Linked DNA regions of Lonchura striata. The protein of the gene in region 1 purifies or fractionates together with the protein of each later gene. This does not show direct contact. Links are inferred from orthologs where the notes say so. Each region holds a gene or a part of one and is shown in the gene's direction. Other genes may lie near its edges.

Region 1 (16,225 bases):
ACACACCTGGGGGACACAGGGCTGTCCCCTGGTGTGACAGGGTGGGATCAGAGCCCACCAGGTGTGCAGGGACACACCTGGGGCTGTCCCTGGTGTGACAGGGTGGGATCAGAGCCCGCCAGGTGTGCAGGGACACACCTGGGGCTGTCCCCTGGTGTGACAGGGTGGGATCAGAGCCCACCAGGTGTGCAGGGACACACCTGGGGCTGTCCCCTGGTGTGACAGGGTGGGATCAGAGCCCGCCAGGTGTGCAGGGACACACCTGGGGCTGTCCCCTGGTGTGACAGGGTGGGATCAGAGCCCACCAGGTGTGCAGGGACACACCTGGGGCTGTCCCCTGGTGGGCAGCAGGCGGTGCCAGAGCCCACCAGGTGTGCAGGGACACACCTGGGGCTGTCCCCTGGTGGGCAGCAGGCGGTGCCAGAGCCCACCAGGTGTGCAGGGACCCCTCCCACCCCTCCCAGTACGCGCAGGCGCTGGCGCGCTTCATCCGCAGCCAGGACCTCCGCGAGCTGAAGGTGTGGACCAGCCACATGAGGAGAACCATCGAGACGGCCGAGGCGCTGGGCGTGCCCTACGAGCAGTGGAAGGCCCTCAACGAGATCGACGCCGTGAGCCCCACCCCGATTTTGGGTTGTTTTTTGGGGGGAAACACCCCAAATTAACCCCTGAACCCCCCCCCCAACGCCGCTGTCCCGCAGGGGGTCTGCGAGGAGATGACCTACGAGGAGATCCAGGAGAGGTACCCCAAGGAGCTGGCGCTGAGGGACCAGGACAAATATCGCTACCGCTACCCCAAGGGCGAGGTGAGCCCCGAAAATGCCCCCAAAAAATTGGGGGGCAGAGGTTTTGGGGACACCCCCTAAACCTTCAACGCAGTCCTACGAGGACCTGGTGCAGCGGCTGGAGCCGGTCATCATGGAGCTGGAGCGGCAGGAGAACGTTCTGGTCGTCTGCCACCAGGCTGTGATGCGCTGCCTGCTGGCCTACTTCCTGGACAAGAGCGCAGGTGACAGCCGGGGACAACCAGGGGACAGTTGGGGACAACCAGAGGACAGCTGGAGACAGCCAGGGGACAGCTGGGGACAGCCAGGGGACAGCTGGGGACAGCTGGGGAAAGTTGGGGACAGCTGGGGACAGCTGGGGACAGACAGGGGACAGCTGGGGACAGCTGAGGACAGCCAGGGGACAGCTGGGGACAGCTGGGGACAAACAGGGGACAGCTGGGGACAACTGGGGACAGCCAGGGGACAGCTGGGGACAACTGGGGACAGCCAGGGGACAGCTGGGGACAGCTGGGGACAAACAGGGGACAGCTGGGGACAACTGGGGACAAACAGGGGACAGCTGGGGACAACTGGGGACAGCTGGGGACAGCCGGGGACAGCCGGGGACAGCTGGGGACAACCAGGGGACAACCAGGGCACAGCTGGGGACAGCCAGGGGACAGCTGGGGACAGCTGGGGACAAACAGGGGACAGCTGGGGACAGCCAGGGGACAGCTGGGGACAACCAGGGGACAGCTGGGGACAGCTGGGGACAACTGGGGACAGCTGGGGACAGCCAGGGGACAGCTGGGGACAGCCAGAGGACAACTGGGGACAACTGGGGACAGCTGGGGACAGCCAGGGGACAGCTGGGGAAAGTTGGGGACAGCTGGGGACAACCAGGGGACAGCTGGGGACAACTGGGGACAGCTGGGAACAGCTGGGGACAGCTGGGGACAGCTGGGGACAGCCGGGGGACAGCTGGGGACAGCTGGGGACAGCTGGGGACAGCCGGGGACAGCTGGGGAAAGTTGGGGACAGCTGGGGACAACCAGAGGACAGCTGGGGACAGCCAGGGGACAGCTGGGGACAGCTGGGGACAACCAGAGGACAGCTGGGGACAGCTGGGGACAAGCAGGGGACAGCTGGAGACAGCCAGGGGACAGCTGGGGACAGCTGGGGACAGCCAGGGGACAGCTGGGGACAGCCAGGGGACAGCTGGGGACAGCTGGGGACAGCCAGGGGACAGCTGGGGACAGCCAGGGGACAGCTGGGGACAGCTGGGGACAACTGGGGACAGCTGGGGACAGCTGGGGAAAGTTGGGGACACACCTGGGGACAGCTGGGGACAGCTGGGGACAACCAGGGGACAACCAGGGGACAGCTGGGGACAACTGGGGACAGTTGGGGACAGCCAGGGGACAGCTGGGGACAACTGGGGACAAACAGGGGACAGCTGGGGACAGCTGGGGACAGCCATGGGACAGCTGGGGACAGCCAGGGGACAGCTGGGGACACCTGGGGACAACCAGGGGACAGTTGGGGACAGTTGGGGGACAGCTGGGGACAACCAGGGGACAGCTGGAGACAGCCAGGGGACAGCTGGGGACAACTGGGGACAGCTGGGGACAACGAGGGGACAGCTGGGGACAGCCAGGGACAGCTGGGGACATTTGGGGACAGCTGGGGACAGCCCAGAGCTGCAGTGGCCACCCGAGTTCCCTCAAACCCCTCCCCAGATGAGCTGCCCTACCTCAAGTGCCCCCTGCACACGGTGCTGAAGCTGACGCCCGTGGCCTACGGTGAGTGGGGTCACCCCAAAAAGGGATTGTTCCCCAAATCCACCCCAAAATGGGGACAATCCCCCCCAAAAAGGGATTGTTCCCCATGTCCCACCCCAAAATTGGGACAATCCCCCCCAAAAGAGATTGTTCCCCATGTCCCACCCCAAAATTGGGACAATCCCCCCAAAAAGAGATTGTTCCCCATGTCCCACCCCAAAATGGGGACAATCCCCCCAAAAAGGGACTGTTCCCCAAATCCACCCCAAATTTGGGGACAATCCCCCCAAAAAGGGATTGTTCCCCATGTCCCACCCCAAAATTGGGACAATCCCCCCAAAAAAATGATTGTTCCCCTGTGTCCCACCCCAAATTTGGGGACAAATTCCCCCAAAAAGGGACTGTTCCCCATGTCCCACCCCAAAATTGTGACAATCCCCCCAAAAAGAGATTGTTCCCCATGTCCCACCCCAAAATTGGGACAATCCCCCCAAAAAGGGACTGTTCCCCCTGTCCCACCCCAAATTTGGGACAATCCCCCCCAAAAAGGGACTGTTCCCCCTGTCCCACCCCAAATTTGGGGACAAACCCCCCAAAAAGGGACTGTTCCCCATGTCCTACCCCAAAATTGGGACAATCCCCCCAAAAAGTGATTGTTCCCCCTGTGTCCCACCCCAAAATTGGGACAAATCCCCCCAAAAACCGCTCCCTTCTTCCCCTGGAACAGGGTGTGAGGTCGAGCCCGTCTTCCTCAACATCGAGGCAGTGAACACCCACCGGGCACGACCCCAGGTCAGAGCCCCCATCCCCAAATCCACCCCAAAAAGTGGGTGCAGAGCACCTTAACCCCCCCAAATAACTGAGGGGAGTGTTAAATTGTGGGGAGATCCCCCCCAAAACCCCCCATTTCCACCCCACAGAACGTCGACATCAACCGCACCGCAGCCGATGCCCTCAACACCGTCCCCGAGCACTTCTGAGGGGTCCCTTGGGGGAAAAGGGGAGCCCCCACCCCAAAATTAAACCTTGGACAACCAAGCAGAGCCTGAAAATTTGGGGAGGGGGCTGCAAACCAACGGGCTGCCTTTATTTTTTTGGGGTGGGGTGGGGAAGGGGGTCAGGTTGTGGCTTTGTTGGCCTCGCTGTATTGGCTCGCCCAAAATTTGGGGTCTTTGCCCTGCATCTGAACGGGAGAAAAACAGGGGAGGGGGCATCAAATCGAGCCCCCCAAAAAAACTCAGAGATGCCCCCCACGAGCACGGCCTCACCTTGGCCACGAAGTTCAGCACGTCCTTCTTGGAGGTTTCCTTCTCTGCCCGTGGGCCCCACTGGTACTTGAATTCGGGGGGGTCCGTCAGGGGGATGGCGGTGGTCTCCAGGTACCTGCGGAGGGCTGGGTGGTTTTTGGGGTGCACAAAGGTTTTTTTTGGGTTTTTTTGGGGGTGTCCAGCATTGCCCTGACCCCGTGAGGAACCCTTGGAGCCACGGGGTGTGGGGGGCTGCGGGTTTTTGCTCTGCGGTGTGGTATAAACAGCCCGGCCGAGGCTGGCGCCGAGGCCGCTCTGGGCACACCGGGAAGGGACATGGGGGGACCCCCACGCTGCACCCCCAAATTCCAGCCCGCTCCCAACTCACTTCTGCCGCACAAACTCCTCCGTCACCAGCTTCCGGACGTCCCCGAAGACGCCGTGCTGCTTCCTAAGGAGGGGGGCTAGTGAGGGGTGGCACTGAGTAGCCCACCCACCCATTTCGGGGGTCCCCGGCCGGATCCTACCCGGGGTAGACACGGAGCAAGTGCAGGAATTCCCACAGAGCACCTGGAAAAACAAAAGGGGTGCAAAGTGAGCGGGGTGCAAGGGGAAAAAGTGGGGGACGGGGTGGGGGTTTTGGGGAGAACTCACTGTCTTTGACGGAGTTGCCCTTCATGAAGATGAAGCTGAGGATGACTAAGAGGAGCCCCATCTTCTCCTGCTCCTTGCCCCTGAGGCGCACACAGGGGTGGTCAGGCGGGTGGGATTGGTGGCCCTCCTAAAATTTGGGGACAAAGTGCCCCAAAAAGGGACTGTCCCCCCCCAGAAACCCTCCCCAAAATGGGGATCATTTCCCCCAAAAAGGAAATTCGTGGCCCTCCTAAAATTGGGGACAAAGTGCCCCAAAAAGGGACTGTTCCCCAAATCCACCCCAAATTTGGGGACAATCCCCCCAAAAAGGGACTGTTCCCCCTGTGTCTCGCCCAAAAATGGGGACAATCCCCCCAAAAAGGGACTGTTCCCCAAATCCACCCCAAATTTGGGGATGAACCCCCCAAAAAGGGACTGTTCCCCATGTCCCACCCCAGATTTGGGGACGAACCCCCCAAAAAGGGATTGTTCCCCCTGTCCCACCCCAAATTTGGGGACAATCCCCCCCAAAAAGGGACTGTTCCCCAAATCCACCCCAAATTTGGGGACAATCTCCCCAAAAAGGGACTGTTCCCCGTGTCAGCCCTGTGGGGCTGGAATCACCCAGGGGTGCACCCATGGGTGCTGCATCCCCTCACCTGCACAGGAGCTCGCCCTGGGCGCAGGGCAGGTTATTGATGAGGATGTAAATGTGGCGTTTGGCATCGATCTCCACCAGCTGCAGCCCAAAAACCTGCGGGAGGACAAGGATTAATCCAAAGGTTAATCCCCCCCAAAACCTTCCCCCTTTCCGTGCTGCCCCCACCTCCTGCAGGGTCCTGTCTGCCCTTTTAATGATTTCCGAGTAGGCATCCTTGTATTCCCGGATTATATTCTTCAGGATATCTATGGAAAACACACAGGGAACGCTGAGAGAGGTCGGAGCTCTGAGCCAGGAAGGATTTCGGGGTTTAAACACCGCGGAAACGCACCTGCCCTCTTGATAGGAATCTTCTTCTGGTCCTTGACGAGCAGGAACTGCACCAGCTCGCTCACCTGTGGGGACAAGGAGCAGGGAAGGGCGAGGGATGATAGCAAAAGGATGCAGAGAAAGGGACTGCGGGAGCAGAGGGGATCACCGCAATCCACCTTCTGGTTCAGCTGCTCCTGCGAGCGCCGCTCCACCTGCGTCGGGATGAAATCATCCTCCCCGTCGGGCAGCTGAGGGGAAACGACGGGAAAAGCGGGGCGAGGTGATGACAGAGAGCGGCAGCAGCCAAAAGAGCGAATGAGGGGAGAACGGGGGGTGTGGCGGGGCAGCCGCCTCTCACCTGAGAGCAGCCGAGCCCTTTGCTGCGCTTGCGCTGAGACATTCCTCACGGCAGCTCTGAGAGGAAAAAAGCACCGGATGGGTTAAAACAGCCACCAGAGCACTCCTGAGGCCGCCCCGCGCGTTCCACCCTCAGCAGGGCCGCAAAAAAGAAAAAAAAAATCCATCCAAGGCCCGGACAACGACGCGGCCGGGACGAGAACCGTCCCCCACCGCGCTCCGCCCGCGACCGCGCCGGCCCCGCCCACACCCGCCGGTCCCGCCCACGCCAGTGCCGCTTCCCATTGGTCCAGCCGCCGCACGCCCCGCCTACCATCCCAACCCCGCGTCGCGATTGGTCGAGAGCCCGAGTTCGCCCCGCCCTCCCCCCGGCGCGCGCCGGGCGAGACTCGCGCTCTTCCCCCCCCCCCGCACCAACCTGAGGGGGGCGAAAAAGGCGGGAAAAGAGCGGCGCGCGCGGGCCCCGCCCCCTTCCCCTCACGGCGGCGAAAATGGCGGGAAAAGAGCGGTAAAAAGGTTATAAAATTAATAACTTAATTATAGCGACAAATAATTAGAGTTAGGACAGCTGCAAGCCGATAAAAAACAGAGATTTACTGTTTTTATAACCATTATGTTGTTATTATTAAACTTTGTTTGCTGGGGGGGGTTGGGGTCCCCACCCTGTGAAAAATGTGAATTTTATGATTGGTTTTTCGCAAATATTGAAATGAATATTACACGCGTAATCAATTCTCTTCAGGAGCGCATTAAATATATTTTCAGGTTTGTAAAACCACCGATCACTTGGTTTATAAAATTTAAAAACTTAATAGTAAAACGCTTGTTAAAAAATACAATTATTTGCTTTTTAGCATCTTGGAATCGCTGTAACTGTAAGTATTTTATTACTGTAATTGCATTACTATTTTTATAGTATTTTTATGTATTTTTAATTTATATTTACTATTTTTATAGCCATTTTATTCTTATTAGATTTATAAAAATTTAAAAATTTTTCACAGGGTTTTTCCTTATTTCTGCAACTCCGTTTTTGGGGGTTTCTCTTTGATTTCTGGGGGGATTGGGATCCCCCTGTGAAAAATGTGAATTTTATGATTGGTTTTTTGCAAATATTAAAATGAATATTACACGAGTAATTAATTCTCTTCAGGAGCGCATTAAATATGTTTTCAGGTTTATAAAACCTCCAATCACTTGGTTTTTAAAAATTTAAAAGCTTAATAATGAAGCGCTTATTAAAAAAGACAATCATTTGCTTTTTATCATCTGGTAATTGCCCTAACTCTAAGTATTTTATTAGTGTAATTGCATTACTATTTTTATAGTATTTTTATATATTTTTAATTTCTATTTACTATTTTCATAGCCATTTTATTACTGTTAGATTTATGAAATTTTAAAGATTTTTCACAGGGTGTTTCCTTATCTCCGCAACTTCGTTTTTGGGGTTTCTCTTTGATTTCTGGGGGTGTTGGGAATAAATAAATTGAATTTGTGCCCCCGCCTTTGTCTCTGATTTGGGTTGGATTTGGGGGCCTCAAGGAGGGTTTAATGAATTGTAGTTAATTTTAAATAATTTTAATTGATTTTAACTAGCTTTAATGAATTTTAAATAATTTAAAATATTTTAATGAATTTTAAATATTTTTAAATAATTTTAAATAATTTGAAGTTATTTTAATGAATTTTAAATCGTTTTAATTGGCTTATATGAATTGTAATTAATTTTACATTACTTTAATAAATTTTAATTAATTTTAAATAATTTTAATTAATTTTATATAGTTTTAATGAATTTTAAATAATTTAAAATATTTTTAATTATTTTAAAATAATTTTAATTAATTTTTCATAATTTTAAATATTTTTAATTAATTTTATCCAGTTTTAATTAATTTTAATTAAGTTTTAATAACTTTGATTAATTTTAAATAACCTTAATTAATTTAAAATAATTTTAAATATTTAAAATTTTTTAAAATAAGTTTAATTAATTTTAATTAACTTTAATTAATTTTAAATAACTTTAATTAATTTTAAATAATTTAAAATATTTTTATTTAGCTTTAAATAGTTTTAATTAATTTTAAATAATCTTAAATATTTTTAATTATTTTAAAATAATTTTAATTAATTTTAAAGTTTTCATTAATTTAAAATAATTTAATTTTTTAAAATTAATATTAAATAATTTTAACTAATTTTAAATAGCTTAAACTAATTTTAATTAACTTTAATACATTTTAAATATTTTTAATTTATTCTAAACAGTTTAAATGAATTTTAAATGATTTTAAACATTTTCAATTAATTTCAAATAATTCTAATTAATTTTAAATCATTTCAATCGATTCTAATCACTTTCCTGTCTCTGCCCCTTTAAGCCAACCCCACCCTCCAGGCCACGCCCACTTCCGGGTTGGCAGCGTCCCGTTGCCGTGGCAACCGCGCGCCTTTCCTGGCCGGAAGTGACGCGCCGGAAGCGGAAGAGGCGCCATGAAGCTGCTGACCCACAACCTGCTGAGCTCCCACGTGCCGGGGCTGCGGCCCGGGGGCGGCTTCCCCCTGAGGATCGAGGTACGGGGGGCTCCCGTTATCCCCGTTCCGCTATCCCAGTCCCCGTTATCCCGGTTCCTTCCCGTTATCCCAGTCCCGTTATCCCATTCCCCGTTATCCCAGTCCCCGTTATCCCAGTTCCCGTTATCCCATTCCCCGTTATCCCAGTCCCGTTATCCCAGTCCCGTTATGCCATTCCCCGTTATCCCATTCCCCGTTATCCCCTTCCCGTTATCCCAGTCTCGTTATCCCATTCCCCGTTATCCCAGTCCCGTTATCCCATTCCCCGTTATCCCAGTCCCGTTATCCCCGTTCCGCTATCCCAGTCCCCGTTATCCCGGTTCCTTCCCGTTATCCTAGTCCCGTTATCCCGTTCCGTTATCCCCTCCCGTTATCCCGGTTCCTTCCCGTTATCCCGTTCCGTTATCCCAGTCCCCGTTATCCCGGTTCCTTCCCGTTATCCCAGTCCCGTTATCCCAGTTCCGTTATCCCAGTCCCCGTTATCCCATTCCCGTTATCCCATTCCCCGTTATCCCAGTCCCGTTATCCCAGTCCTGTTATCCCAGTCCCCGTTATCTCATCCCCGTTATCCCAGTCCTGTTATCCCAGTCCCCGTTACCCCATTCCCGTTATCCCAGTCCCGTTATCCCAGTCCCGTTATCCCAGTCCCCGTTATCCCAGTTCCCGTTACCCCAGTCCCGTTATCCCAGTCCCCGTTATCCCAGTCCCGTTATCCCAGTCCCCGTTATCCCAGTTCCCGTTACCCCAGTCCCCGTTATCCCACTTCCGTTAATCCCTAATGAACCCTGTTAACCCCTAATTAACCCCTAATGAACCCTGTTAACCCCTAATTAACCCCTAATGAACCCCATTAACCCCTAATGAGCCTCGTTAACTCCTAATTAACCCCTAATGAACCCCATTAACCCCTAATGAGCCCCGTTAACCCCTAATTAACCCCTAATGAACCCCGTTAACCCCTAATGAGCCCCGTTAACCCCTAATTAACCCCTAATTAACCCTGTTAACCCCTGATGAGCCCCGTTAACCCCTAATTAACCCCTAACGAGCCCGTTCAGCCCGTGGTTGCCCGCAGGCCGCCGAGGTGCGGGAGCGCCCGGTGCCGTTCAACGCCGCCTTCGTGTCCCGCCTGGTGCCGCGGCTGCGCTGGGACGCGCTGAGGGAGGCGGCCGAGAGCGTGAGCGGAACGGGAACGGCGGGGATAACGGGAGTGACGGGAGTGACAACGGGAATGACGGGAGTGACAACGGGAGTGACAACGGGAGTGACAGGGATACCGGGAGTGACGGGGATAACGGGGATAACGGGAGTGACGGGAGTGACAACGGGAGTGACGGGAATGACAATGGGAATGACGGGAGTGACGGGAGTGACAACGGGAGTGACAACGGGAGTGACAGGAATGACAACGGGAATGACGGGAGTGACGGGGATACCGGGAGTGACGGGAATGACGGGAGTGACAACGGGAGTGACGGGGATGACAATGGGAATGACGGGAGTGACTGGAGTGACAACGGGAGTGACGGGAGTGACGGGAATAACGGGAGTGACGGGGATAACGGGAGTGACAGGGATAACGGGAGTGACAGGGATAACGGGAGTGACAGGAATGACAATGGGAATGACGGGAGTGACAACGGGAGTGACAGGAGTGACAACGGGAGTGACAACGGGAGTGACAGGGATACCGGGAGTGACGGGGATAACGGGAGTGACGGGAGTGACAACGGGAGTGATGGGAATGATGGGGATAACGGGAGAGATGGGAATGACGGGAGTGACGGGAATGATGGGAGTGACGGGGATAACGGGAGTGACGGGGATGACGGGGATAACGGGAGTGACGGGGATAACGGGAGAGATGGGAATGACGGGAGTGATGGGAAAGGGGAATGACGGGAATGGGGAATGGGAACGGGAATAACGGGAATGGGGAACGGGGAAACGAGAAGGGGAATGGGAATGGGAATGGGAACGGGAAATGGGGAACGGGAATAACGGGAATGGGAACGGGGACAGGAATAACGGGAACGGGAATAATGGGAATGGGAAAGGGGATGGGAATAACGGGGACGGGGAACGGGAATGTGGAACGAGAACAGGAACCAGGGAATGGGAACGGAAATGGGAATGGGAAACAGGAACGGGGAAATGGGAACCTGGGAATGGGGAACGGGAACGGGAAAGGGAAATGGGAACCGGGAATGGGAACGGGAATGGGGAATGGGAAACAGGAACGGGGAAATGGGAACCTGGGAACGGGAACGGGAATGGGGAATGGGAATGGGGAATCATGGGAACGGGGATAACGGGAACTGGGAATGGGAATGGGGAATGGGAAACGGGAACTGGGAAAGGGAACGAGAATGGGGAACAGGAACCGGGAACGGGAATGGGGAATGGGAACGGAAACTGGGAACGGGAATGGGGAATGGGAACGGGAAGGGGGAACGGTGAACGGGAACAGGGAACGGGAATAACGGATCAGGGAATGGGAACGGGAACTGGGCAACAGGAATGGGGAACGGGGAATGGGGAATGGGAACGGGGGAACGGGGGAACGGGAACGGGAAACAAGAATGGGAATGGGAAATGGGGAATGGGAATGGGAACAGGAACGGGGATGGGGAATGGGAATGGGAACAGGAACGGGGATGGGGAATGGGAACAGGGAATGGGAACAGGGATGGGAACGGGAACTGGGGGGGATTTTGGGGGGATTTGGGACAGTTTTGAGGTCTGGGGAGATTTGGGGGGGATTTGAGGGTGATTTTAGGGGGGATTTGGGGGTGATTTTAGGGGGGATTTGGGGGTTATTTTGGGGGGATTTGGGGGCAATTTTGGAGGTCTGGGGGGGATTTTGGGGCTGTTTTTGGGATCTGGAAGTGAATTTTGGTTTCTGGGATGGAATTTTGGGTTCTGGATGGGGATTTTGGGGCTCTGGGGGTTCCCCTCTGACCCCTCCCCACTTTTTACCCCCCTAAAGTTGGGGCGCCCCTCGGAGCTGCCCCCCGAGCCCACCCCCGGCTACGAGGCCGACGAGGAATTCCTGCGCCGCCTCCACCACATCCTGCTCGAGGTCAGCAACCCCAAAAAAACCCTTTTTGGGGGAAGGGGGGTTCCCAAATTTTGGGGACCCCCCCGTGACCCCCAGATTTCCCCCCAACCGCAGGTGGAGGTGCTGGAGGGGTCCCTGCAGTGCCCGGACTCGGGGCGGCGCTTCCCCATCTCCAGGGGGGTCCCAAATCTGCTCCTGACCGAGGACGAAGCCTGAGGGGGGAGTTGGGACCCCCAAATCCACTTGGGGGGGTCCCCAAAATTTGGCTGAGCCCCTCCCCCCAAGGCTGGATCGGCGGGAAAACCCCGAATTCCCACGGTTTTACCCCAAAAACGGGGCTGGAATTTCAGCGATGTTGAAGCGGTGATGGGCGTGGTTCGAGCCTCCTCATTTGCATATTGGGCGTGACTCCTCCCTTTATGCAAATTAGGAATTAGCTTATTTGCATTTTGAGCGGGAATTGTTTTATTTGCATAACGGGAGAGGAATTTTCCCTTTTTTTTTTCCCTCCCAAATTCTCTTTTCTTCTCTCTAAATTTCTTCTTCCTTCCCAAACTTCCCAGTTTTGCCCTAAATTCTTTTATTTTCTTGGAATGTCGCCGTTATTTTTTCCCCAAATCCTTCTTTTTATCCCCAAATCCTCTGACCTTACCCTCAGATTCCTCTCCTTTGTCCCGCTCCCCTCCCTTGTCCCCCAAAATCCGGATTTCACCCCAAAAACTCAACTTTTTGCCTTCTTTTTTTAATATTTTCCCATCAAATCCTTTTTTGTGCCCTAACCCCCTTTTTTTTACCCATACCTTTCCTTTCTCTTCCTTGTTTTTCCCAAAATCCCATCTCTTTCCCCCATGTTCTACCGTGTTGGATTTGTAATTTTCCCCATCAATTTAATAAAAACCAATTTTAATTTTGGGTTTTTTTGCCCGATATTGAGCCAAAATCGCCTCTTTTGCTCTCTTGGAGGAGAATCCTTTGGGATGGAGGGAACGGGGCGGGGGCAGGAGGGAATTTTGGGACAATGGGGAATCCTCAGGGGTGACTCGGAGCCGCTGTTTGGGAATTTGGGAATCCCTATAAAAACCGAATTTTCCCTATAAAAACTGAAATTTTCCCTATAAAAACTGAAATTTTCCCTATAAAAACCGAATTCTCCCTATAAAAACCGAATTTTCCCTATAAAAACCGAATTTTCCCTATAAAAACTGAAATTTTCCCTATAAAAACCGAATTCTCCCTATAAAAACCGAATTTTCCCTATAAAAACCTAATTTTCCCTATAAAAAATCCGAATTTTCCCTATAAAAAATCCGAATTTTCCCTATAAAAACCTAGTTTTCCCTATAAAAACCAAATTTTCCCTATAAAAAAATACGAATTTTCCCTATAAAAACTGAATTTTCCCTATAAAAACCGCTTGTGCCAGGATGGGCGTGTGGGCATAGGGGAAAACCTCTCCTGAGGCTGATTTATTATTGCACACCCCAGGGCTCTGTTCTCTCCTTGTGGCTGGCTGGGTACAACTGGATGGCAAAATAAACATTTTATCATTTTAAATTTGGCCGGACACATTTTCATTTATAACAAAAACCTCTGCTGAGGCTGATTTATTATTGCACACCCCGGGCTCGGCTCTGTCCTTTCCTGGGGGCTGGCTAGGTAGAATCTGACCGCAGATAAACTGATTTTTATTTTGAATAAACTCATTTATAACGCCCCGGAAGTCCGGCTCGTCTCTATGGTCCGGGAGCGCCGCGCGGAAGTGACGCAGGGCCCGCGCGGGCGCCGCCGGAAGTGACGTCAGCGCGCAGCGGCTGAGGCGGGAGCGGCGCTCGGAGCGGCCCGAGGGGACGGTGAGGGGGGGACCGGGAGGGGACAAAGGGGACACGGAGGGGACAAAGGGGACACGGAGGGCACCGGGAGGGGCGGAAAGGGCCGGGAGGGGAGGAAGGGGAGGGGCGAGTCTGTGAGGGGAGGGAGGGCCGGGGGCGGCCCCTCAGTGTCGCCCCGGTGTCCCCTTAGTGTCACCTCAGTGTCCCTTCAGTGCCACCTCAGTGTCCCCTCAGTGTCACCCCAGTGCGATCTCAGTGTCCCCTCACAGTCCTCTCAGTGTCCCCTCAGTGTCCCCTCAGTGCCATCTCAGTGTCACCTTAGTGCCACCTCAGTGTCCCCTCATTGTCTCCTTAGTGCCACCTTAGTGTCCCCTCAATGTCCTCCCAGTGTCCCCAAAGTGTGCCGTCATTGTCCCCTCAGTGTTCTCTCATTGTCCCCTCATTGCCCCTTAGTGCCACCTCAGTGTCCCCTCAGTGTCCCCTCACTGTCCCCTCATTGTCCCCTCACTGTCCCCACAGTGTCCCCTGTGTTCCCTCAGTGTCCCCTCATTGTCTCCTTAGTGCCACCTTAGTGTCCCCTCATTGTCTCCTCAGTGCCACCTCAGTGTCCCCTCATTGTCTCCTTAGTGCCACCTTAGTGTCCCCTCACTGTCCCCTCACTGTCCCCTCAGTGTCCCCTCAGTGCCATCTCCGTGCTCCCTCAGTGCCAACTCACTGTCCCCTCAGTGCCATCTCCGTGCTCCCTCATTGTCCCCTCACTGTCCCCTCAGTGTCCCCTCATTGCCCCCCATTGTCCCCTCACTGTCCCCTCAGTCTCCCCTTAATGCCACCTCATTGTCCCCTCATTGTCTCCTCAGTGCCACCTCAGTGTCCCCTCACTGTCCCCTCGGTGTCCCCTCACTGTCCCCCCAGTGTTCCCTCATTGTCCCCTCAGTGCCACCTCAGTGTCCCCTCAATGTCCTCTCAATGTCCCCCCAGTGTCCCCAAAGTGTGCCGTCATTGTCCCCTCAGTGTTCTCTCATTGTCCCCTCATTGCCCCTTAGTGCCACCTCAGTGTCACCTCAGTGCCACCTCAGTGTCCCCTCAGTGCCATCTCAATGTCCCCTCACAGTCCTCTCAGTGTCCCCTCAGTGCCACCTCAGTGTCCCCTCATTGTCTCCTTAGTGCCACCTTAGTGTCCCCTCACTGTCCCCTCACTGTCCCCTCAGTGCCACCTCAGTGTCCCCTCAGTGCCATCTCCGTGCTCCCTCAGTGCCAACTCACTGCCCCCTTAGTGCCACCTCAGTGTCTCCTCATTGTCCCCTCACTGTCCCCTCAGTCTCCCCTTAGTGCCACCTCACTGTCCCCTCAATGCCGTCTCATTGTCCCCTCACTGTCCCCTCAGTGTCCCCTCATTGCCCCCCATTGTCCCCTCACTGTCCCCTCAGTCTCCCCTTAATGCCACCTCATTGTCCCCTCATTGTCTCCTCAGTGCCACCTCAGTGTCCCCTCACTGTCCCCTCGCTGTCCCCTCACTGTCCCCCCAGTGTTACCTCATTGTCCCCTCAGTGTCACCTCAGTGTCCCCTCACTGTCCCCTCACTGTCCCCTCAATGTCCCCTCAATGTCCCCCCAGTGTCCCCAAAGTGTGCCGTCATTGTCCCCTCAGTGTTCTCTCATTGTCCCCTCATTGCCCCTTAGTGCCACCTCAGTGTCCCCCCAGTGTCCCCTTAGTGCCACCTCACTGTCCCCTCATTTTCCCCTCACTGTCCCCTCAGCATCCCCTCAGTGTCCCCTGAGCTGTCCCCGTGTCCCCTTGATGTCCCCTGAGCTGTCGCCATGTCCCCTCCATGTCCCCTGTCCAGTCCCCGTGTCCCCTCTGTGTTCCCTTTGTGTCCCCTGTCAGTCCCCATGTCCCCTCAATGTCCTCTGAGTGTCCCCTGGGTGTCCCCTGAGCGTCTCTGGTGTCCCCGTGTCCCCTCAATGTCCCCTGAGTGTCCCCGGTGTCCCCTGAGTGTCCCTTCCATGTCCCCCGAGCTGTCCTCGTGTCTCCTGTCCAGTCCCTGTGTCCCCTGAGCTGTCCCTGTGTCCCCTCAGTGTCCCTGAGTGTCCCCTCCATGTCCCCTGAGTGTCCCTGTGTCTCCTGAGCGTCCCCATGTCCTGGTGTCCCCATGTCCTGGTGTCCCCATGTCCCTGAGTGTCCCCATGTCCCCTGAGCATCCCCATGTCCTGGTGTCCGCTCCATGTCCCCTGAGTGTCCCTGTGTCCCCTGAGCTGTCCCCTGAGTGTCCCCATGTCCCAGTGTCCCCATGTCCCCTGAGTGTCCCCGTGTCCCCTGAGCGTCCCCATGTCCTGGTGTCCCCATGTCCTGGTGTCCCCATGTCCCTGAGTGTCCCTGTGTCCCCTGAGCTGTCCCCTGAGTGTCCCCATGTCCCAGTGTCCCCTCCATGTCCCCTGAGCTGTCCCCATGTCCCCTGAGCATCCCCATGTCCTGGTGTCCGCTCCATGTCCCCTGAGTGTCCCCATATCCCTGAGCGTCCCTATGTCCCTGAGTGTCCCCTCAATGTCCCCTTAATGTCCCCATGTCCCCTGAGTGTCCCCATGTCCTGGTGTCCCCTCCGTGTCCCCTGAGTGTCCCTGTGTCCCCTGAGCTGTCCCCTGAGTGTCCCCATGTCCCCTGAGTGTCCCCATGTCCCTATGTCCCCTCGATGTCCCCTGAGTGTCCCGTGTCCCCTGAGCTGTCCCTATGTCCCTGAGTGTCCCCATGTCCCCTCGATGTCCCCTGAGTGTCCCCGTGTCCCCTCCGTGTCCCCTGAGTGTCCCGTGTCCCCAGGCGCCATGTCCTCGACGTCACAGAAGCACCGGGACTTCGTGGCGGAGCCGATGGGGGAGAAGCCGGTGGGGAGCCTGGCCGGCATCGGGGACGTGCTGGGCAGGAAGCTGGAGGAGAAGGGCTTCGACAAGGTGGGCTGGGACCCTGGGGACACTGGGGACACTGGGGACACTGGGGGACACCTGG
Region 2 (16,686 bases), on another chromosome or scaffold:
CGCGTGGGCGCTCCCTGCGCGCCGCCCGGCCCGGCCCCAGCGCAGGATGCCCCTCTCATCCCGGGACCTCGAGACCTGCCTCCCACCTCTTTCTCCCCGCGCTTGCCAAGGAAAGGCGATACCTGTCTGCGCTCACGGAGTCCAGCCACAGTGGTGCGGTTAAGGTCCCACGGGAAGGCGGGGAACATCTCCAAGGTGTTAAGGTCCCGGCCAGCTGGGGTAGTACTCAGCAAGCCAGTATCCTTCCTCCAAATCCTTCCCACCGACCTGTCAAGCAGTGTCCTTTCTCCCTCAGCAGTATATCCAGAAGGCTTTTGATCTTCAAAGTTTCAAGTCAGCTAATTGGGATCATAGGCATGTCATACTATTTATATGGCGCTCCCCTCTAGGAGAATTACAACTGTTGTCTGCAGCATCCTCAGAATAATTTAAAGTTGCCCAGTTCAGTATCTACTGCCAGTAGGCAAGTAGTCTATGTTTCATTTACCCTTATTGCTGCATGCATCTGTCCAGATGTTCCTTTGAAGCTGTAAGCAGACTGTCAGGCCACACTGGCATCCCAATTTTAGACAACAGTCTCATGTTTCAGAAGTCCTTTGAAAATGCTAATTAACCTATTTTTCTCTATGCCTAATTTGAAAATAGCTTTCAGCATGCCTGTTTCAGGGACATGGTTTAATTTCCTCTGAATCTCCCTTTTCAGTCATTTTGATCCCATAATCAACTGTCACATTTAAGAAGTACAGTGAAAACACTCGGGCTGTTGTGTTTAACATTTAACAACTAGGAAACACTGTTCATGTCCTAAGGCAAAGCAGACTGATATTTAATTCTCCTCCTAGCTACAGCTATGCAGTCCATCTTCCACCTGTCACCAGCATGCCTGGTGCACCTGGCTGGCAGGTGCCGTGTTCTGCAGAGCTGATCAAGTGGCAGGGAGGGAGGAGGTCCCAGCAGCCTCCAGATCAGCGGTGTGGTCCATCAGCAAATGAGGTCTGATGCTCAATGGAACAACTCAAGGGTCGGTATCAGACTACAGCTTTACCACCTCATCTCTTACTTGCATCATGCTTTGCACGTTGAAGTAATCTTTCAAGCTTAATTCCATGCATCAATGAACTAGAAAAGTAGTTCTTTCTCCTGGGCAGTGTTTCTAGTTACTAGTATTGCAATGATGTCCACCTCCAACATATTAGATCCTTGCTCTTAGACCCTGTGTCTGTCAGAAACTTCTTTTGCACTAGGCCAGCAGAGCCACTGCAGGTCTGTAGATATCTGAACAGAATAAACTCTAAATTGGGGGAGTTTTCAGGGGCTTCAGGAGCAGAGATTGGTTATGCTTCCCAAAATAAATCTAGAAACAGAGATTTTTAAGACAATTCATTCGTATTATGAAAGATGAATTGTAAGCATGAAAAGCCAGATCCTTGCTACAGAAGTAGCCTTCCCCAGATGGCACGGTCTTGTTCACAAATATTAAGGAATTCAAAATGTGAGCTAGAAAGCCTTATTGCCTTGTTCCCTTACTGTTGTGGCAAATTTAGGGGATCAGACCAACATGTTTGGAGTTTCCAGATGGCCTTCTGTCCATGCTCTGGAATTACGCAGTGGTACATATCTGTACTGTAGTCATGCAGCACCATTTCAGACTTGCCTGGATTTTTTTTTGAGACCCTTGTTGTCAAATTTCAGTTAGATGTACCAATTCACTCAATATGTTGGTATGGAAGCTACTCAGGTTACTATGACTCCTGTTTTCAGAATTGTTGTTTCATGGAAAGTTGAGGCAAACCAGCATATTATAAAAAATTCTTCTGTTTATAAGCAGTTATGATGTGCTTTCCTTTTAACAGCATAATTATTTCTAATTGATGGCAAATGAAAGAAACTGTGCATGACAGCAGAAATATAGCCTGTACTTAGAAGTGGCAGTGAAATCATATTAGAAAAATATAGATGTAGGACCCCACTAGTTGAGCAATGTCACGCTTTTCCAGCAATAGCTCATACAGCCTGCTGTGCTTAATAAAACAGCAAGGTCATCTGCATGATTAATTTAGCATTGGAAAGAAGGTGACAGAAGCAGCAGAAAAACCAGATAGCAACATACCTTGCTCAGATATTAGTGAAAAATAAAAAGCTCAAGCTCCTTATTATTTTAGACGCTCTTGCTGTAACAGAAATTACTGATAAAGACAAAATTGATAACAAGGACATGTGCTGTGTCCTTGTGAAGAACCTACCTAGCATCACCCAGCACTCTTCTCAGACAATGTGCCACCCAAACATTAATAAATGTTTCATAAGAAGTTATATTTTAGTTTATGGTTTTAGGTATTATTTTTTCCTTTTAACAAGTAGCATTTTTCATTTGTGACAATACAGAGCTAGCAGAAATACTTTAGCTACACTTGTATTCTTTGACTTACAATCAACAAGAAAGAAGGTATTTTACCTAACAATCCTAGTACTGCTGGAAAAATCTTTAGAGTTGTAGGAAGAAAGGACAAGGAAGGAATAGGAAAACCTTCCCTATTTACATAAGGAGTTTTCTTACCTCACTTTCCAAAATCTGTAGTTCAGGTTATCAATCCCTCTAGTTCTCAATCAGCATGAGATAGGCTACTCTCCATAAATGACAAGCTTCTCAGGCTGTTCTTAAATTTCCTCACTTGCCCTTTTTGAGAGGATTCTTGTCAGCTGGTAATTGTTTGTGTTTGGCTTAGGACAAGCATCAAATATAGATAGTCCTTTGGAAGTGAATTATATGGCTCTCACGCCCCGATATTATAGCAACTAGGGCTGTGTGTACACAAGCTTCAGGATAATTTTTAAGCCAATCTCCCAGTTGTTTTGTTCATTTCCAGTCCCACACTTCACTGCACTTGTATCTCTTTGACTGAAGATGCCATAAAATTTAAGATGGGAGACACTAACAGAAGCCTGTAGATGATGGTAATGTGAGATATGAAGTGTGTCAGGCTTACTCATAGAGCCTTTAGAGAGACGACAGCTAAGGGAAGCAGCCAGTATGCCCATTTAATTCATCCATTTATTGAAGCAAAGAATTTTGCCAGAAAATACTTTGTCTACATATAAATTAAGAGCATTTAATGGTATAATACTTTAATTTAAATAATTCTGGTGGATATTTCTGCATAGAAAGAATAAAATAAAGTGGTGTAGACATGAGTTTCAAATACTATAGACTAGCAATACCTACTTTTTTCTCTTAATAAAATTGAACAAACTCGAATATGCTGCAACTGTGTTCTAATCATCACCAAGATGTGTACCAACCATATTATGTCTGTGTGAAAAATATTTGCATTTATAAAAGAAAAATTTTAACTAAATTTTGAACAAGGAAAAAAATGATTTAAAAAAATCTCTTATTTTCATTAATCTTCTGCCATTAATTAGATGCATACTCTGAATATATGTGCTACACTTCATGCAAAGATTATGAAGTTTTTCACCAACAATGATTCATGAGGATTCACAACCCCTGGTGATATGGGTAAATATTTAAGTAAATGTCATACAGATCAGCAAACTGACTCACAGACAAGTGGTGTTTGTAAAAGAAAAATCACAAAATTGGGATGCATCTTCTTTCTTTTTTCTTCTTTTGCCTATTCAGCTTAAAAGCTTACAATTCCTGTTTCCCTGATATGTCAAGTGTGCACATAGATCCAAAGAAGTAATGAAAACTAGATTACAAGAGCAGCAAATGGGGTGACCATTAGAAAATTTTAACTTATGGTTGAACAGCTGTTCTTATAAAGAAAGTAAACTTGTTGCATGAGCAACAGCTAATGAGTTCTCCTGACATGATGACTGAAAGGAGATGGAAGAATGGAGTCCCAGTCCAAGGAATACATTGCAATATTCTCTCCAGTCAGTGGGGGCACCAAGGATCTCACGATGGAAATGTAACATTTAGTTCTCTTATGTAAACAGCACTATGTCTTTAAAAATTAACTTCACAGATAGTGTCCAAACTGCCAGCACTACAACCTTAAAATTGTATTGATTGCTCAAGTAGACAAGAGTCAGAGCCTGATACTCCATGATTGTCCTTGTGATACATTTATGCCCTGAAGTTATAACTGTGAGAAACTATGTTTTCCAAGGATATGCAGGACAGCAGACTGCCTGCCTAGTATAGCTATCAGGGAGGATCCCTGTGCAAGGTCGCATTGCTTCCCAAATGCCTAACAAATCCTAATTATTTGTGACAGAACTGAGTTTTCCCAGGTTACTGTAAGATTTTGACTGTATGGCCAGAAGAGTATAGTTATATAGTTCAAATAGCATTTTTAAAAAATTATATTTCCTATTTGTTTAATGTAAAACAGGCATAAAGAGCCAGAAGAGAATGTAAAGTACATGCAGACTTTGAAGGGATGACAATTTTTAGTATGCATGTCAGAGAAAACAAATATTTTGTGAGACTCATTTCTAACAACATTGCTTTCAAAGCTAAACTACACCATGTGTTGATGGGTTGAGTGATTTAGAGGGAAATCAATATTTTGTATGGTTCTTTCAGTATTCCATCTTACTTTTATGACACCCCAGAAAGTGTACTAAACTGGTAAATAATCTCACCTAAACTTTGCCTGAACTGCGGAGAAAGAGTCACAGCAGCAGTGAAAGCAACAATCCTATTCAGCTGAGAATTATCATCTTTTCTTTAAAGCTTGCATGGCATTGGAAGGATTTAAAGCCCTAAGTCACCAAGACTGTTTATGCCAAAAGGAAGTAAAAACTGAGGACAAAACAATTTCATGCAATGTATGGTTTGCTGAGTACTGGTGCATGTGGGACTTTGAAGTCTGAGGACCATTCACTGAGAAGTTTTATTTGAGCAGAAAAAGCTGGCAGGAGCTTCCCCGGGAATTTCTGAATTAAATTCATGGATATTATGCTTTCCAGTAGTTATGTTTAGGGAATTTACATTTCTTGGGGTCTTTCTTAATGAAATCAAGAAATTATCTATTTTTTTACATGTATGTCCACATGTTGCAGGAACCTCTCAAGAGCTGATTCTTTGCACTGGTAGTACATATAATGAAGTATCTTCAGACTTGAAGCAGGCACATCATAACTACAGTAATTTCTGTCTTATGCCTGAAAGTTCACAGGAATTTTCTGAAGACTCACCAGAAAAGGATCAAAGATTTTCTGTTTGTCGAGGCTTACAGATTGTGCTCCCACTTCAAGTGCAATATTAATGGTCACCCAGCAGTGTAGGCATTCTTTTGCAGTGTGTCTGAGAACAGAAGCTAAAGCTGTTCCTCCCTGCATTTAATAAACAGCCTTGAACTTCATTAGTGCAATCTCATGGCATAGCAGAAGTCTTCAGTTTAGCTAACCCCTGTCCAATCCTAAACATTCACTGACTGGTTTGGTTCTGTAGATGACAAGTTCTGTAGCTGTCCCAGTAGAGAACTGGAATCACGCTGCTCAGAAAAAGCTGTGTCATCATGCTAAAGAAGCTTGCTCCACAAGAGGATCACAACAGGTAACAGTGAAAGTGAACCTGACAATAATCATGTATCTGTGCCAGAAATGCAGTGTTGCCAAATATTACAGTTTTACTGTGAGATTTGTGCTATTTAGTGTATTTCCTGAAGTTACAATACACTGAGTATTGAAATTTTAGGAAAAGTGCAGCTTTTTTTATTAAAGGAAAGGGGAAGAAAAGTACTATAAAATCTTACATTTGTGGAAGAAAAGCTTGAAAAAGTTTGGAGATATTAACAGAATGTAGGCTAAAGCTTAGAAACCAGAAAGCATATTGATACTACTTGACATTTTAAGTCCCTTTAGAATACAAGCATTTTCATCATTAGCATTTGAATATCCCACTGCTTTTAAGAGGACCCAGTCTTCTCATGACTCTTTCAGTCTTATGCAATTGCTAACAAACTTCTAAAAGTTGTTTTTTTCTGACTGTTTTTCTTTTTCAGAAAGAAATAGTAAATCTAACATTGAACAGCACAAACACAGAATAAAAATGACATGCAGCACAGAGCCAGCCTTGCCTTCGTCCTGAAAAATATAAACTCTTGGCATTGCAAAGGTTTGTAATGGAGACTTTTATTATCTCAAGCAGCAGCAGTTGCACATTTTGAATTTAGGTCAACACATATTTGTCCAAGTGCTGAATTATTACATTAATGCTATCCTAAAACAATTTATCTTGTGTCTCATCCTTTATTACAGTACTTCTCTACAGGAGTAGTCATGGGTGATTTTGAGCTAGATTTAGTGCTAAAGAGGTTTCTTCTTATTTCTGTAACAAAATGCTATCCTGAAATATATCCTATTTGTCATGATTCTTAAACTGCAGTTTCTTATACCAAGAGATTTGATACAGAAAATCCTATCTTCTTGAGATTCCCTTTTAATTGGGTTTGAAATTAATGGAAATCCAGTGTGATCACATTAGGCTACAGCATGGTTTGCTATAAAAAGGAGTAAGATTATCTTTCCACCTACGGACCAGTAACCTCTTGTTTGTTGAAGGAAATAGAAGTGTTTACTTGTTATCCTATGAAGTTGATTCCCAGGGACTGACAAACACCTTGATTTTCCCTGGGAATGTGGCCAAGATAAAATAGCTAACAGCATAGCAAATAGTGTAATTTGTTCCTGAGAAAAGTCAGTAGGATTTTACTTTTCACCTATGACTAAATGGGAGCATGATATTCTGCTTTAGAAAACATCTTTCCTCTTTATGAATTAAAAAAATAGAGCAGAGCCAAGATTTTCTGATAAAAACCTTATTTTTTCTTAAGAAAACTATTAAGATTTAATATCAAACTAGAATATTTGCTGACATATAAACCAAAATATTAAAATTATACAAAAGGGATTTTTGAAAAGAAATAGTGAGTTTTCTACTAACACACTTTAAGTCAGAGATTTTATTAACATCTATATTGAAGGTGAATTTATTTGAATCCCCACTTCGGTGAACTCTTTTGTGGGTTAGTCAGTGATAATGTTGTTAATGGAGATGTATTTTTACTTGTCAATAAGTGGTATCTGTAGGAGGAGCCTGTACCCATCTAGCAGCAGAGGAGAATGAACAGTGCTTCTGGCCTTAAATCATGAAGGGCATAACAGTTCTGGTTTGAAATATGCTTGTATTAAACCCCTAACCAGCCTTTAACTGTTTTCCTTTTAAATGGTGGAAATTTCCTATGTAAGAATGTTGTTTATAGAAGAAAAATATTGATGCATTATCAGAGGAAATGCTATTGCAATACGCATGAAAAATTCTTGACCACTGCTAATCATACAGAGATACTAAAAAAAAAAAAAAAGAACTTCACAGTCAGTTTGTTATCTCCCAGAGAATGCACATAGACATGCATATAGAATGGAGAGTGCACAGAACCTAGAATGTGAACACTTAAGAGAAACAACCTTTGGGCAGGTATTTTCCACTTGTCAGAACAAATTGGTAATGAATTATAAACTGGTATCATTAGCATCATCCTTTCAGCAGCTTTCAGGGTTGGGTGGTTTCCAGGGCTGAGAGCCTCAGAGAATCGTTTAATAGAGACAGCAGCTGTTGATGCAGCCTGGTTCTTTCTCCATTCATTCTGGCTACCAAGAAGAGCAGGTGATGCTAAGGCTTAGTGTTCACAAAGGTTAAAAAGCTCTATGCTGTACAAGAGTATTCATATATTTGCTGCCTACTGGGTAGGCAGTACTTTAATTATAAGAAAACTTAGGCAGAATATCTGTGCTATCACAACACTTTGCTATCCACTGTGTGGGTCAAGGACAGAAGGTGACTGTGGTGGAGGAAAAGAAGTGGAACCACCACTTCTAACCAAGTAATTCCTACCTTCCAAATATTACAGGCTGGTGGATATGCCCTGTCAGCTTCACATGCTTAGTGCACTTGTACCTTCTGTACATGGAACAACTGTGTCCTTGGCACACGGCATGGTATACATTCCAAAGGAAAGAGAAATGAATTTTTTGTTGTTGTTTCTTGGTTGGTTGGATTTTTTATTGTTTTCTTCTGGGTAAGCACAGCCATAGGTAGATTCCTCCAGAGTGGGCATCTGGGAAAAGCTTGAGGAGCTGGCTTCAATCTACAGGTTTACAGGCTCATCAGTCATACCTTACATAACACCTGCCTGGGAATCCCACACATCATTGATGCTGAGAAAGATTACATATTCACAGGAGGCTGAGGGAGGAAAAGTAAACAGAGAGAGACAAAAAAAGAGTTAGGCTTCAGGTAATAAGATGCAGTGAGAAGTAGAATATTTGTCAGGTAAACAAAAGGTAGGCAATCTCAAATTCCAGCATTTTGGATAAATAAGGGAGAAAAGTTATGTCTAGGAGCATAGTATGCAGCTTGGTTAGCCTGTGAAGAAAAATGAAACAAAGGCTTACACACTGTATCTTTGATTTAAGGGACCATTTTCTCCACAGGGAATCAGAGAGGTGTTAAGATGCTTCCTTTCAGTGAGGCAGGCCTCTCACTAGCGTGGGTTCATTCCACAGCCTTAGGGTGGTTGCTGGCCAGGCCAAGAGCGGTGCAGAATATTTACATACAACCATGGGCTTGGTCTTCCCATGGCCTTGTCTGGACTGGCATGGTTTTATCTTCCTCTGTCTTGAGTGCTGCATTGTGCCAAAGGTAACATGATCAGTGCTGGTTGTGATGGTGGCTTGTCCAGGGGATGGTCTCTTCTGGTGAGCGCCTGAGCCTGGGAGAAGCCATGATGCTGTCTTTAAGCCATCCTGGCCTGGTGGAAGCTGTCTTTAACTTGCCATGTGGATGTGGCTTCCCCCATCTGGTTTTGGATCCCCTGTGCTGGGGGAGGCTTCAATGGATAAATGAATGCAGGTTTGGGGCTGAAGGATGATGTCCCACTGCACATAGGGCTAAAGCATTGCACTTGTGAGGACTCAGAGGGAGACTCTGGATGGAGAGCAGGTTGGTAAAGACCTGGCACTACTTGGAGAAAATGTGGCACAGGGAGGACCTGCTGGCAAGTGGAGTCAGGAAGCATGGAGTGAGCAGGAACAGGGGGTGGCACAGTGACAGTAAGTGTGTGTCCATGGAAGGTGGTTGTAGGGGGCCGCTCTCCTCCTTCCCCTTGCCACACAGACTGCCCTGGATCCATCCAGCATAGATGTCCCTCTCCCCAGGACACGGCTGTGTGCCGCAGGAGAGTCCTGGCCGGGTCATTGGGAAATCTTGGCCCATAGAATTGGCTGCTGCCAAAGAATCAGAGAGCTAGTCAGGTTGGGAAAGACCTTTGGAGATCATGAATCCAACATTTGACCTAGCACCACCACGTCAAATAGGCCGTGGCATTAAGTGCCACGACCAGTCTTTTCCTAAACATCTCCAGGGATGGTGACTCTACCACCTCCCTGGGCAGTCTATTCCAAGGTCTAATCAGTCTTTCCATTAAGAACTGCCTCCTAATGTCCAACCTGAACCTCCTGCAGCTTAAGACTACATCCTGTTGTTCTGTCACTTGTTACCTGGGAGAAGAGGCCGACCCCACCTGGCCACATCCTCCTTTCGGGCAGCTGCAGAGAGCAGTGAGGTCCCCCCGAGCCTCCTGTTCTCCAGGCTGACCCCCCCAGCTCCCTCAGCTGCTCCTCACAGCCCTTGTGCTCCAGCCCCTTCCCCAGCCCCGCTGCCCCTCTCTGGACACGCTCCAGCCCCTCAATGTCTTTCTTGCAGTGAGGGGCCCAGAACGGAGCCCAGGGTTGGAGGTGTGGCCTCAGCAGTGCTGAGTGCAGGGGGACGGTCACTGCCCTGCTCCTGCTGGCACAGCAGTGCTGATCAGGCCAGGGTGCCATCGGCCTCCTTGGACACCTGGGCACACCCTGGGGCACGTTCAGCTGCTCTTGACCAGCACAGCCAGGTCCTTCCCAGTCACTCTTCCCCTGGCCTGTGGTGCTGCGACTTACTGTGACCCCAGTGCAGGACCTAGCACTTGCCTTGCTGAACCTCAAAGCTTGGCTTCCCTGACCTGTAATAAAGCCACAGCCGCCTGCAGCCGCCAAACGCCGCCGGGACTCCGCGGGCAGCGGGGCGGTGCCATGCCGGCGGGGCGGTGCCGCGCTGTGCCCGCCCCGACATGGCCGCTTCCTGCAGGTAACGCGCCCGCCGCGCCGGGCTGCGGCGGGGCCGGGCAGCCGCGGGGGCGCAGGCGGCCTCCGCCGCTGGCTCCGCTCCGCCGCTGGCTCCCCTCCCGTCCCCGCCGTGCCGCCTGTGCGGGGAGCAGAGCCCGCGGCTCTGTCTCCGGCCATGTCAGGAGGGGGCCAAGGCCAAATCCGTCCCTACGTCTGCCGCAAAGCTTTTGTGGCCTCCCCCGTGTGTCCTCGGGGCAGAGCAGAGGGGACGCTGCTGTGAAGGTGGTGAGGCCTGGAACAAGTTGCGCAGGGAGGCTGTGGGTGCCCCAGTCCTGGCAGTGTTCAAAGCTTTGAGAATCCTGGTCTGGTAGGACGCGCCCCTGCCCATGACACGGGGTTTGGACTGGGTGATATTTAAGGTCTATTCAAACCCTTCACATTGTGTGGTTCTATGGCACGCTCCTGTGGTTGTTCCTGTTGTCATTGTTTCCGGGGTGTCGGTGGGAGCTTTGGTGCTGGCTGTCCCTGGCAGAGGCGGGATGGGGCAGCCACAGGGACAGGCTGGTGCTTGGCTGTGCTGGTGCCTTCAGGCGCGTTTGGTCCTTGCTGGAGCTCTTAAATCTCACCTTCGTGCCTCCTGAATGTGTTTTATTCCCCCCAGATGTCTGTGTTAATGCTGCGTCCTTATACGTTTGTTGTGGCGTGTCTGCGGCGCAAAAGCAAGCCGAAAGTGAGTAACAAAGAGCCCAGCTCATCCCTGATCGTGGCGCTCCCTCTGCCGACAGCCGCCGCTCAGCTCCGCCCGGCCGCCAGGTACTCCAGGTTTCAGAAGCTGCTTCTACAGCAAGTAAGCTTTGTGCATTGCATTAAAGCTTTACATTAACCTCTGTAGTAACTTCAGGCCAGTTTTGTAACGTGCGTGTACCCATAGCTCCTATTGCAAGGGGAAACCGTTTTCAGTCTGTATTTTCAGGAGCTACTTTTAAAAATACTCGTTGTAAAACTTGGTGGTAACAGTAATGAATTCAACAGTGGATTAACTCTTTTTATTCTGTAGTCATATTGGCCTTTCTAAAGAAGGTGTGAGATCCTAGCAAATTAAGTTTCCTACTTCTGTACAGTTGAGTGCGTTTCCTTCATTCAGAAACAGGGCAGACTTGGTTCCTGTGCCTGCCGAATTGAGCCACTGGTAATGACGCAACAGACAAGACACAGAGTTTAGACACGGTTCAGAAGGAGACCAAGGGAATATCCTGCTGTCTCAGCTATGCAGGTATTACTGCTTAAGATGCCTTCAGAAGCTGGTGGCCCCAGAGTGATGCTGGCAAGCATGACACAGTACATCAGGAAGGTCTTCAGCTTCTTGAGCAGCAGAAGAGCTGAGTGTTGTGGGATAGGTCATCTCTGCCAGTGTTATGTGCTATTTAGACAGCTGAGTCACACCTCAGCTGTCCCTTGTTCGGGGGTTATGAAAGGATAAAAAGTAGTCTTTCAGTTTCTGTGCTAGTTTAACAAATATTGTGGCATGACTTCTTTGCCTTTGCCTGGAGAATGTGGGTATTTGTGAAGACCTGACTTAAGGCCTGACTAAACTCAAAACTGTTTTCCCCAAATATCAGATGAAGTCTTCCAGTATGTGGAGGTGTAGCTGTTATGGGAGAGGCCTGACCCTTTCAGTTTGAAGTTTTGCAGGCTGCATGACAGTGGTCTGACTGGTATGGGTGATGTGCATAGTGTCCATGCTTTTCCATCAAAATCCAATTTGCTGGGTTCCAAAGTATTAACCTGTCCTGTATTTTTGCTCTTTCTGTAAACTAACCAAGTCAAAGATGTGTCATTTTCCTGTGGAGTAGTTTGGGACTGCCTGACACTCTCCAAAGAGGAACCTGCTCAGGTGTAGGCTGTAAAGATGTAGGCCTTTTTTATCTGTGTGTGGCAAATAAGGTGGGACAGGCCAAGCCTTTTGGACCCAGTTATATAGATGGTGATGATTAGGGACATAGGGTTTAGTAGTGGACTTGGCAGTTCTGGATTAACAGTTGGACTCAACCTTACAGGTCTTTTTTAACCTAAATGATTTTGTGATTCTATGGAGTCTTATAATTGCACAGCTTGGTCATAGTAGGTTTGCTGAAGGAGCCTGCAAATCAGCTGAACCTTGGTAAGGGTAATCCATTAGATGCACTGATGCACTTAGGAGAATTTATTTCATAAAACTTTCTGTGCTTCTTTTCATGAGGCTTTTATTTTTCCCCTCTAAGTTACCTTGGCTTCTAATTATCTTATGCTATTGGGTGTTGGATTTTTTTGTTTCGTTGGGTTTGTTTTTTTTTGTTTGTTTGTTTGGTTGTTTTTTTTTTGTGTCTCCCACTTTGCTTTCTTTTTTTGGTTTAAGCAAGTTTGAGATTTTTTTTTTGGTCATTATTTAACTAATGAAAGGTAAGAGAAGCATTGCTCTCTGTGTATTTAACACTGTTTGTTGATTAAGTGAAGAATCTTACTTTGAACTGTTTTGTCTTTAGAAGGAAGAATGTTGTTTTCAAATAACCATCTGTGGCCTGTTTTCAAATGTGCCATCAGGAAGGGAAAACGATTATTTAAGAAGGTACCAAGAATTTGAGGAAGGGAAGGGAAAAAATCAGAGTATAAAATACGCAAAAAGCCCCTAATGAGCACTGTTGCTTTAAAGGGAAAATGGCAGACATTTCCTACAAATCTGTAATAAAACTAATTATGCAGAGATCAAGATTGATTCCATAACTTATTGATATTTTCAGCCTCTACACTTCATTTTTGAAGTCATGTGGGGTTAATTATTGTAGTAGTCTTCTCCTTTTTCTGCCCTGTTTCAGTTTTGGTGCTTGTGAGATTTTTGTCTTATGCATTTTGTCTCTGTTGCTTGTGAGCATGGTTGTGATTTTAGGAGATCCTAGGAAATGTGAATTGTCTAATGGTGGTAGTATGGATTTTGGCGCTGAGTAGTTTATTAAGTGGTTTTTATGGTTGGTTTTTTTTCCCCTTTGGTCAGACACAGATATAAATGTGATCGTTATGTGGTCAGATGTGTAAAAACTTGAAGAACGCCAGGAAGTCAGGGTTCAAACTGTTAAGGCCTTGCATGTGCCACCTCAAACTTGTTAGCAGGCATCTGAAACTATATCAGGAGAAAATTGTTGATGCTCACCATGCCAGTAACTTGCCATGTTTGCTTAAAAGTGTTGTTGACAAGGGTTTCAATTCATTTAAGGCCCCTGTAACATTGTGTTTGAGAATGGAACAGGAATGGTAGGAGGATTAACTAGTAAGTGGAAAGGAAGGGAAAAAGACTTAGTCTTCTTTGACAGCATTGATCCTGCTCCTTTTTGGAGCATTAGAATTTTTCATTTCCACAGAGTGCTTTTGTCAATCTGATTCTCTTTAAAGATTATTTTTGTGCAGTGCAGTTAAAAGTTGTGCAGGTTGATGATGGTAATGCTGCAGCAATCACAGGGAGTACATACTTACAGCTCCTGTGCAACACTTCAATCTCTTATAACAATTTTACTAGCATATCAGTGCTTGTTTAAAACAAAATTTTTGCTAAGTTATTCAACACAAAGTTCCTGCAAATACTAATATGAGGGGTTTTTTATCTTTACCATTTTTTGTAGTACATTGTCATATTATCATGGTTGTGTCTGCAGTTTAGGTATTGGGAAGGAGCTCTGCAGTCATGCAAGCCAGAAGGCATGTAAGTGGATGAGTGACTGTTGGGGCAGTTGACAATGTTAAATAGTAACATAGAGGGGTGATTGATCTAGTTTGTTTTTGGTTTGGTTTTTTTTTTTTTTCCCTTAAAAATAGCTGAAACAAAACCATTTTTTGACAGGAAGAGAAGATGAAAGGATTGTTGTCAGGTCAGTGCTGATAAAAGAATGGAATAGGACAGACAGCTGCAGTTGGATTGTCCAGCTATACTGTTAGGAGGATTTTTGGCAAAGAAGTACCTCTAAGATAAAGGTAAGGGATTATGTTACAGGGAGAGATAAAGTCAAACTGCATCAATGTCTGGGAGCTTTGTCATAATCTTACATGAGATCTGGACTCCTCCCTTGGATTTGAAGGAAGTAGAAAAAAGAAAGGAAAAGAATATAGGCTTAAATAAATGAGGGAAGGTACTGCATGATCTCAGTGTAGTGTTAGACCAAAAGTTGGCAAAAGATGCAGCAAAACCTGAAGAATGTCATTGACCTGTAAGTATTCACTGGTTGGTAAATGCTGTGTTGCTATGAAATGCAGTAGTTAATACATATATATATATATATATATATACAATTTTCTGTTCCTTCGCACAACAGGAATGTGATTTTCATTAAGTTTGGGAGATGTGGTAAATGATGTGTGGAGCATCCTAATTGCTTGCTCTAGGACATTTAAGTATTGCACACATTTTTCTATGCTCAAGAAAGGCAAGTTTGGCCAAATGTCACACTTGGGTGCAATTAGGTAAAAGGTGTCACACATTTAATCTCTGACTCAAGCTTTTGGTAAGGCATGAGAATAACTGAGAAGCTGAGACAATGTGAATCTCAGGCAGTTCCGCACATAATTTTTTTCTCATGTTCTGTTCAAGTGAAGAGGAAGAGAAAAATGGGAAAATGAAATAAAGCATCATAGCAATCTTTTAAAGATTTATTTCTGGGAGAGATCCTTTTCAGGCAGGACACTCACTACGTGTTGTTATTTTTGCTTTCCAGAACACCAGTATGGAAGCTAAAACCAGTGAAGATCATTTGGAAGTCCAGAAAATGAAGAAGAAGGTATTGAGGAAGCAGGTCAGAGCTCAGCATACATTGATGAGACATGAGGGCATACAGTGTGTCTCCCGTGCCACACAGGTAGTTGCGATTTTGATGGTAATGTTAAAATGCTGCTTATCTGTGTTCTCTTCTCTCATGTGTCTTATGTAAAATGCAGTTTTTAAAAAGGGACTTCCCAAGATTAAGGGTTTTCTGTGCTTCTTTGATTTCAAAGCAGAATGGTACTTGAGCAGTTTGGGGTCTATGGAGAGACTTTGGCCTTTGGATAATGTTTTTTTTAACCTGAAACAGTAGTTACTTGGATTGAGGAGGAAGAGGAAGCCTTGGAAATGCTATTGAAATAGATACACTTTTCTTCTCTTTTTCTGTGGTTTCTTTTTTTTTCTCTCAGGCTTTTAACTTTTGTACCATTCTATCCTCCATGGTTCTCTGTCAAGTGTAATTTGTCTCATCTATGCTCCCCATTAAAAGCATGTCTGTCTTGAATATCTTTTCCATCTTTTTTTCCTCTAAACAAATTAAGGCTGTGGTTCTGTGGGAATTGAGCTGGTTGGCTGACTTGCAGCTGTTTAAATAGGCACAGCTTTCTCTTTCCATGCAGTAAAGAGACCTAGTAGAAAGCTACTTGGATTTTTTGATTTGTAGTGTTCTGCCACAGTAGAGTTACAGCAGATCAGAGGATTACCTTGCAGATACTGATATAGCAAAATGTGACAGGAACTTGCAGACAGAAAGGGAAGTAAGGGTTTCTAATTTCCCTCTCTCATTTATGAAGAAATATAAATGGCTTGAAACACTGTAGAGCAGTATCATTTACCGTATGCTTGTTCATCCTGATCCTGCAAATTCTTCCCATTCAAATATGGAAGCATCAGTTAGATCTTTATACATTTTTTTAATGTGGTTTAATTTTTTCTCCAATTTCAAACCACATGGACGGATGTTAATGACTCGGCAATCTTGTTTATGTTGTAAACTCTTTAGAACAAAGAGTGTGTTTTTCTATTGTTGCTTAGAAATGGGTCTGTAATTTGGGACTTGTTCCCCTTGAAACTGTCCCAGGTACCAAATTATCTATCTAATCTCTCCAAAGAATAATTCTGGGGTCCAGCAAGGTCCTTATTGGTGACAGAACACTTGAATAAGTGATGCATAAAACAAAATCATAATGCTAGTGGTAAACTTGTGTCAGGAATATAGAAAATACTTCCAGGCTTGTGCAAGAGTCCATCTATGAATTACATCATCAGTTGCTGCATGTGCTCCAGCAGATGTGTAGTGGGATCTTTGTAGATTAAGTGAAAGGAGCAGCTTGAACCTATGCATGTCCTTCACACACATAGGACTCTCCATCAATAACATTCCAGATAATAGCAGTAATTAATAATGAGGTAAACCTTGAAAAATATGATCCATAACAGAAAGCCTGATGCAGAGCTTAGAACAGATGTTATCAGAGCCTCAGAGCCTTCACAATAGGCATAATCACAGCAGTGGTCAGTGTATAATTTTTTTAAATGACCCTCCTCTTTGGTTCTAAACCTCATTTTCTGTGGTTTTTTTTTTTGTTTGTTTGTTTTGTTTGTTTGGTTGTTTTTTTTTTTTAAGAGAAGCAAAATGCTGTTGTTTGAATTAATTGAACACTTTTCCCATTCCCAGCTGTTCCAGAAACCACCAAAATTATGTGCCAATGCCACTGTTTGTGACAAGCATACTACAAGCACACATGGCACTTGAAAGCATGCATTAACTG

What was found.
Region 2: the proteins of TRMT112 (region 1) and ALKBH8 purify together in Homo sapiens (co-immunoprecipitation; 3 studies listed by IntAct, with this or other methods). This does not show direct contact. The link is inferred for Lonchura striata from reciprocal best matches to the Homo sapiens genes TRMT112 and ALKBH8.

The regions. Positions count from the first base shown.
Region 1 is NC_134638.1:1,906,202-1,922,426, forward strand, and holds TRMT112 (multifunctional methyltransferase subunit TRM112-like protein), read left to right. Parts: upstream 1-8,166; 5' UTR 8,167-8,257; coding exon 8,258-8,338; intron 8,339-9,413; coding exon 9,414-9,515; intron 9,516-11,327; coding exon 11,328-11,420; intron 11,421-11,513; coding exon 11,514-11,615; 3' UTR 11,616-12,311; downstream 12,312-16,225. Other genes in the region: non-structural maintenance of chromosomes element 3 homolog, read right to left, coding at 3,666-3,731, 3,817-3,931, 4,184-4,246, 4,323-4,365, 4,450-4,529, 5,088-5,182, 5,255-5,334, 5,421-5,484 and 2 more; BANF1 (barrier-to-autointegration factor), read left to right, coding at 16,045-16,170. UniProt on the Homo sapiens protein: Acts as an activator of both rRNA/tRNA and protein methyltransferases. Together with methyltransferase BUD23, methylates the N(7) position of a guanine in 18S rRNA.
Region 2 is NC_134604.1:44,220,310-44,236,995, reverse strand, and holds the start of ALKBH8 (tRNA (carboxymethyluridine(34)-5-O)-methyltransferase ALKBH8), read left to right. Parts: upstream 1-10,127; 5' UTR 10,128-10,156; intron 10,157-10,795; coding exon 10,796-10,981; intron 10,982-14,870; coding exon 14,871-15,011; intron 15,012-16,686.